2 linked regions of the Macaca fascicularis genome follow. The protein of the gene in region 1 binds, or shares a complex with, the protein of each later gene. Links are inferred from orthologs where the notes say so. Each region holds a gene or a part of one and is shown in the gene's direction. Other genes may lie near its edges.

Evidence for each region. Proteins that work in one complex are often made in the same cells at the same time.
Region 2: the proteins of PTPN6 (region 1) and KLRC1 are in contact, whole or in part, in an NMR structure (PDB 2YU7), measured with the Homo sapiens proteins. The link is inferred for Macaca fascicularis from reciprocal best matches to the Homo sapiens genes PTPN6 and KLRC1. Residues at the interface, in NP_002822.2 of Homo sapiens: Gly117, Gly118, Glu121, Arg136, Ser138, Leu139, Ser140, Val146, Thr165, His166, Ile167, Lys168, Val178, Gly179, Gly180, Leu181, Glu182, Ile199, Glu200, Glu201, Ala202; in NP_002250.2 of Homo sapiens: Ile38, Thr39, Tyr40, Ala41, Glu42, Leu43, Asn44, Leu45, Gln46, Lys47.

Annotation. Positions count from the first base shown.
Region 1 is NC_088385.1:7,882,581-7,886,327, forward strand, and holds the start of PTPN6 (tyrosine-protein phosphatase non-receptor type 6), read left to right. Parts: upstream 1-1,441; 5' UTR 1,442-1,604; coding exon 1,605-1,618; intron 1,619-2,583; exon of another isoform or gene 2,584-2,732; intron 2,733-3,268; exon of another isoform or gene 3,269-3,456; intron 3,457-3,747. Other genes in the region: C11H12orf57 (protein C10), read left to right, coding at 652-803. UniProt on the Homo sapiens protein: Tyrosine phosphatase enzyme that plays important roles in controlling immune signaling pathways and fundamental physiological processes such as hematopoiesis.
Region 2 is NC_088385.1:10,467,348-10,471,094, forward strand, and holds the start of KLRC1 (NKG2-A/NKG2-B type II integral membrane protein), read left to right. Parts: upstream 1-1,052; 5' UTR 1,053-1,425; intron 1,426-2,392; exon of another isoform or gene 2,393-2,498; 5' UTR 2,499-2,570; intron 2,571-3,747. UniProt on the Homo sapiens protein: Immune inhibitory receptor involved in self-nonself discrimination.

The DNA of each region.
Region 1 (3,747 bases):
AATTTTCCATTTTTGGCTTCACACTGGCACTCAAATAATTTCAGATTTTGGGTTTTCTAATTAAGGATGGTCAACCTGTACTGTGAATCACATTATTATTACATTTTGTGATGAGGGAGCAAACGCTAATGGTGCAGACTTTTAGTAGTAGCAGAGCTGGACGTCAACGCTGTTGTGCCATCTTTTAGTGAGAGGTCTGCATTACAGCAGTGGCTGCAGTCTCTCCAGGGTGTTTCAGCTAATTTCTGTTTGGGGGTTGGTGGTTAAATTTTTGGTGAGATCCTGGTGTTCCCCAAAGGTGCTGACTGATTCAGCTCTGCTGCCCCATAGCCTTCCTGCGTTCCAGCTACAGACCTGGGGTCTCGTGTTCATTCATGGGGTTCCAGTGACTAAACTGCTAAAAGGGTTCACCTGAGAGCAAGAAGCACACTGCCTTGGGATATTTTCATTCACTGCATCCCATCTAGTTGTGCCCAGTGTAGACCAAGAAGTTGATCCAAACCACATAGGACAGAGGCCTGCATGCGTCCTGTTTTGCAAACAGCTGCCCAGCCAGTGGGGAAGCAGTTCATGCTTAAACTACCACCCCCTCCAGCTGTCTTACGCAGCTGGTCCTTGGAAGAAGCTTTGACCCTCCACTCCCTCTTGCAGGTGTCCTTAAATTTGCTCGCTTGGTCAAGTCCTATGAAGCCCAGGATCCTGAGATCGCCAGCCTGTCAGGCAAGCTGAAGGCGCTGTTCCTGCCGCCCATGACCCTGCCACCCCACGGGCCTGCTGCTGGTGGCAGCGTGGCTGCCTCCTGAGAGTTGGCCCTCCCTGTGCCCCTGCCAGGGAAGAAAAGGCCTTGATGTTCCAGACGATAATAAACGTGCCTGTGACTTAGCCTTGGTGTCAGTCTTTTGCAGACTTGACAACCCCCATCTCACCTTCCCAGATTCCCTCTGCCTTTCCAGGCCCCATCCCCATGTACAGCTCCTTCCTATACTCCTGGCTGGGCCTAACCCTGCTCCAGTGAGGGCCTGAGGCTCCTCCCCTTCCCCCAGGGCAGGGTGAGAGGCTGGACTGGGCCCCTCTACGCTCTGGGTGGGTGGGCGGGCCTGCACTGGGGACACCTCCTTCTCTGAGGAATTGGGCTGTTAGGACTTTCCCTTAGGCCCTTTGGTTTCCACCTACTGAGAGCTTTCCCCCATTGGTTGCTCTTCCCTCAGCCAGGGTTACTTCCTGGTCTTTGCTCCTACCCAGCGTCCCGCTGCTCTGTCAGCTTGAGCTCCAGGTGGAGCTCCAGGTGGCTCCTCCTCTCCCGAGGGAAGGGGGCCCTGGCCCAGCGGGCAGGCCTGCTGTACTCCCGCACTGGGGCTGCAGGGAAGCTGGCCACTGTGGGCGGTCTCAGGCCAGCCCCGCCCCACCTGTCCTTTTCCCGGAGACTATTAGTCCAGGGTTTGTCCCTGCGGTGCCATTGGCCTGGCAGGCTGGATCGAGGAGGAAGTGGCTGATTTCTGAGTGGTTCTTCCTCTCCTGGCTTGGGCCGCTGTGCACAGCTGTGCTCCTGGCTCAGCCCCGCCCACTGTGGCCCTCCGCTGTGACTTCCCCATCCCTACAGAGAGATGCTGTCCTGTGGGTAAGTCCCAGGCACCACCTGGGTCCTAGTCTCCTGTTAGTTTTGGAGGGAGGGAGGGCCTTGTTGATGCTCACTCCATCATGTATGTGAGCGTGAGTGCGATCTGCTGCTGCCCTGCCATGCGCCTGCTTCCGATCCCTATAAACCTTCCCCTTCCCGCAAAGTGTGAGGACCCCCAGGCTCACTCATGCCCCTCTGCCCCATCTTTAACATTTTCCGCCTGACAAGTGTGTATCTGTTCTCTCCATTGCATTTCTACTTCCAGCCTCTGGGCTCCTGCTTCTGTCTCCTGCTTAGGACCTGTCCCCCGTGGGTAGCTCACAACACCTGAAACAGCAATCAGAGGCCACCCGCGAAGGCCCTCCCATGCCCAGCCAACTTCCCCGCTCTTCCCAACATCTGACTTTGGTCCCATCTTCCTTCCGTTTCCTTTCACTTCCCGTTCCCCTGCATCATTCATTCAACAGGTACGTGTTGAGCGTCTGTTACACACCAGGTGTTGTTTAAGATGCTGGTAATACTGGAGTGAACAAGACAGACATGGTCCCTGCTCTCACGGAGCTTACATTCCAGTGGGAGGTTACAGACTGAACAAATAACCCAATAAATTGGATCATTGCAGATTCTCAGAAGTGTTATGCAGTAAATGAAACAGCCTCGGCTGGGTGTAGTAGTTCACGCCTGTGATCCCAGCACATTGGGAGGCTGAGGCGAGACGATTGCTTGAGCCCAGGAGTTTGAGACCAGCCTGGCCATATAGTGAGACCCTGTCTCTACAAAAAATAAGAAATTAGCTGGGTATGGTGGAATGCGTCTGTGGTTCCAGCTATGAGCCTGGGAGGTCAAGGCTGCAGTGAGTAGTGATTGCACCACTGCACACCAGCCTGGGCGACAGAGCGAGACCTTGTCTCAAAGAAAAAAAAAGAAAATGAACCAGCTTCATGTGCTAGCAAGTGACTGGGTGTGCAGGTGACATTACTAGCTGGAGGGATCGGGGAGGCCTTCCCGAGGAGGTGACATTTGAGCTGAGACCTGCTTGAGGAGGAAGAGGAGCCAGCCATGTGATGTGGTGATCAAGGCCTGGGCAGAGGAGCATCCCTGGGCAGAGGAGATGGTGAGCACAAAGCCCTAATGTGGGAACAAACAAAAAAAGGACCGTGTGTCCGTGGCAGAGGGCCCTCGTGGAGCAGAGGCAGGGCCACGGCAGGTTAGACCTTGTTGGATCTGGGATGTTGAAAGTGAAAACCTGGCCAGATGAGGTGGTGCATGCCTGTGATCCCAGCACTTTGGGAGGCCGAGATGGGAGGATCGCTTGAGCTCAGGAGTTTAAAACAAGCCTGGGCAACATAGAGAGATTCCATCTCTATTAAAAAAAAAAAAAATACTGGGTGTGATGGCCCAAGCATGTAGTAGTCCCAGCAGTTTGGGAGACTGAGGTGGGAGGATCACTTGAGCCTAGGAGTTCAAGACCACGCCGGGCAACATACAGAGAGACCCCATCTCAACTATGACGACTACTACTACTAAATAGCTGGACATAGTGGCACGCACCTGTGGTCTCAGTTACTTGGGAGGCTGAGGCAGGAGGATCACCTGAGCCAAGGAGGTTGAGACTGCAGTGAGTTGTGATTGTGACACTGCACTTTTCAGCCCGGGTGACAAAGCAAGATTCTGTGTCAAAAAAAGAGAGAGAGAGAGAGAGGAAGGAAGGAAGGAAGAAAGGAAGGAGAGGAAGAAAGAAAGAAAAAGAGAAAGAAGGAAGAAAAGGAAAGCGAGAAAGAGGAAAGAAGAAAAAAAAGAAAAAGAAAAAGTGACAACTGGCCAAAAGAAAGAAGAAAGAAAAAGTGACAACTGGCTGGGCGCGGTGGCTCACGCCTGTAATCTCAGCACTTTGGGAGGAGTTCGAGACCAGCCTGGCCGACATAGTGAAACCCTGTCTCAACTAAAGATACAAAAAAAGAAAAGAAAAGAAAAGAAAAAAAATTAGGCGGGCACAGTAGGGCGCACCTGTAGTCCCAGCTACTAGGGAGGCTGAGGCAGGAGAATTGCTCGAACCTGGGAGGCAGAGGTTGCAGTGAGCCAAGTCTGCGCCACTGTACTCCAGCCTGGGCGACAGGGAGAGACTCCAT
Region 2 (3,747 bases), about 2.6 Mb from region 1:
ATTGTTTTGAATTATCTTAAAGGAAACTTATAGATCTCCATTTATTTGAATCAGTTGCTAAAGCTTTATTCATTTCCTTTGGTGGTGTCATATATGTCTGATGCTTTGTTATTTGTTTATCCTTGTACTGGTGTCTGTGCACTTGAAAGAGCAGACATCTCTTTCAGTCTTTACAGACTGGTTTCGGTAGGTTAAGACCTTCTCCTATTAGGGTCCTGGGCTGATGAGATTGCCTTCAGTGTCATGGTTGAATGGGGTTACAGCCGGATCACATGGTTGCTTATGGGTCCAGAGTGGGATCTTTGGTTCATGATCCTGTTACTAGGGCTTCTAGCAGGCTTGTATCCTCCTTAGTCCCTCAGAGGACCAAACTGGCTCTAGCATCATACTCTATAGGGCTGGGGAGGGAATGAGGGTCCACTTCAGGGTCTGTAGATGGTGGGTCTATTATTAGGTGTGTAGTTGGGGGAGAGTTTATCTAGTTTTCTGGGAAGGCTGCTCATGGGTCTCTGAGTGGGTTCCTCAACCTGTGGCTGAGAGGAGTTAGTGCTAAGTCACAAGGTTTCCTCGGAGTCTATAGCTGAAACCAGTGTCTTCATGTCTGTCTCTGGGGTCATGGATGAGTGTGTTTTCTGGCAGGTATCTGGGCAGGCAAACTTGCTTCAGACTGTAGTTAAGATGGGCTGGAGCTGGATCACAGGATTGTTTCAAGATCTGAAATAAAACTAAGGTCTGTACCTTTAGGGGCACTTATGGTGTCTCTCTCCAGGTCCCTGTGTGGGCAAACTGCTCTCTAGCATAGCTGAGGAGGGTTGAACCCCCTTTTCTGGCCCATTTCAGGATGTGCTGTGAAACCTAGGTCAACGGTCTCCCAGTCGGGACATGGATGCACATGCCCTCCCTCTGTATCCCTGAGCTGGCAAGACTGCTCACAGCCCACAGCTGAGAAGGATGAGGGTCATGATTCAAGGCTGTTTCAGAAACTACCATGGAACTGAAGTCAGCAAGCCTGTACTGCTGCCAAAGATGAGTGAGTCTCACAGCAATTTCCTGTGATTAACTCAGGCCACAGTTGAGAGGAGTTTGAGTGGAGATTCAGGGCCATTTTAGTATCTTCTAGAGGACAGAGGTCAGCAAGCATGCCCCAGGGGAACAGATGTATATGTCTCCCAGGAAGTCTCTGTGGGTGAAAGACTGATCTCAAAAGTTGTGGCTGAGAGTAGCTAAAGCCAAGTTAGAGGGCTGTTTCAGGGTCTACATTGAGACTACAGTTGATATGCCTACCTCCTGAGACACTAGTGTTTGAGTCTCCTCCTGGGCCCCTGGACAGATGGTTTTGGCAGCATGACGAAGTCCTAATGCGGCTGAAGGCAAGTCCACAGGAGGATGGGTCTCTTTTCAGGTCTGGAGATGGAATCACTGTTGGTAAGTCTGCCACTTGGATGCAAATCTATTCTCTAAAGCAACCCTCCTAGGTCTTGGGTTCCACTGGCATTTTACAAACTCCTACTTGAATTCCAAAACTCCCTCAAAGGGAGTTTCCTCCACTTTTGTCTGTGGATGGCTGAAACATTATTGTTGCTGTTGGGGCATATGTGTGGGGGACCACCTATTCTGCCAATTTGCTGACTTTTCTCCTAGTGAGATTTTAAAATTACTTTTTCCCGATACAGAGCCTGCCTTCAGTTTTTGTCATTTACAACTAAATATTTCTTTCGAAGTTGAGATAATTTGTTATGGTGGAGAATGGATAAATGAAGAATATGATGAATAGCTATTTAATATTTCAATCTCTGGTATGCTAATATATTTCAAAATTGATTAATATTTTACCCTTCCAAGATACATTTATTTTCATCAATGGTAATCTGAAGATTAAATAATCTATTTTTTAAAAATTAAATGCAAAAATTTAAGAACTAAGTTAATAACATAACTTTGGCAATGATGGTTTTTGTGTCAGCTACAGTCAACTGAGTAATTACTGCAGTAATTTTTCAGAATAATTAAGGAAAAAATCAGTAGCTATCAGTTGATAATGTTACTATGAGTTTTAGAATGTTTTCTATTATAATGGAAGTGACATAATAAAATAATATAAAGAAAAGAAGTATGCAATGTTAAGATTTAGCAATCTAGTCTAAAAGGCACTCTTAACAAGGTGGGGGTTGGCAATGTTTGTGATCAAAACAGAAAAAAAAATTCTCATAGGTGCTTGAAAAATGGACCAACTAAATGACCCACTTTCAAAGTCAACCTTGTACTTTTAACAGACCAGAGTATCCTATATTTTGGAGGTGTGTGATGAGATTAAACTGATTTCACAATAGCCCATGTGTAGAATTTCCTGTTCAAACCTTAGTAACACGTTGATGAGAAATCTACTTTTTCCACTCTTGACTCACTCTGAGCCTTCACAGGGCAGTCTGCGAAGATTGTAGGCATTGTTTGTTCTTGTCCTGGATTTATGCCTTTAAATTTCACCTTTTATTTCCCAGCTATAGCAGGCCTTTTTGTGAGACTAACCTGGCCTCTCCACTAAAGGATGTGTGACTTTCTGGGGACAGAAGGTATGTGTTGCTACTCTCCAACTCTCTACTAGCCTACCTCATTTAGTGGGTGATTACAAGTGCTCAATATGGTACAAAGGAGGTATAATTAATATACAGTAAAATCAAAGTAGAACATTGCTGTCTTCATTTGAATAACTCAGGGTAAAAACCATATGAAATATGTTGAAGGATTTCTTAAAGTTTTCAAATTCTTGTTTGTGGAAACCTAGTGGGTTTGTTGATCAATATAATTTAAGTGAAACCTATTAACATCACAATAATGAACAATTAATTTTGTATTTTGTAATCAGTACATCATGTATCTTTGAATAATAATTTATATTTAGCTTAGCCATTAAAGATTATTAAAATAAATGAATCAATTGATGAAAGCCAAATACAGTTCCTCAGACATGTAGATTAAATAAAAGCAGTTTTTATTTTTAATAAAAATCACAATGAGGTAGAGTACATAAAATGCTAAAGGTAATACAAAACAATCAAAATACTTTTTTAAAGTTTATCAAAATATTGCAAAAAAAGATGTAGCACACGGATATAGGAGACTTATCTGAAGATTCATTTTCCATTCTTTAACTGACACGAATCAGAAACAGTAACATAACAATTGTGACTAAAATAATAATTAAAATAGCTAATGCTTATTGAGAACTTTAAGTGCCAGGTTGAGTGGTAAATGTTTTACATGCAACGTTTTATATGTTCTTATTCCCGTCTTAGATTAACAAACTGGGTTATTAAACATAGAATAACTTTTTAAAGGTCACACATTGTAAGTGTCAAAGCTAGAATTCATTCTAGATCTCACTCACTCCAGAGCCCATTGACTAAATGATTTAATTACATTATCTGAAATTTTACAAGTACTTACACAACAAAAGTGGCCTTTACTCACCTTGACAACTGTAAAATCTTTCTATAAGTTTAAATGAAATGTGCTTTAACATGAATTACCTATACTTTTATTTATCATTTTTTGGTTCATAATTTAGCCAGGAAATAAATTACCAATTACTTATTAAATTACCAATACTTCTATAAGTATTAACAATTTATGTGGTGTTCCTAATACTATTTAGGTTATTCATAAGTTAACAGTGTCATATAGCATTTCCTGACATGTACAAATATTCACATTTGTAATCATTTTTAGTAATTTAAATAATTTTTAATA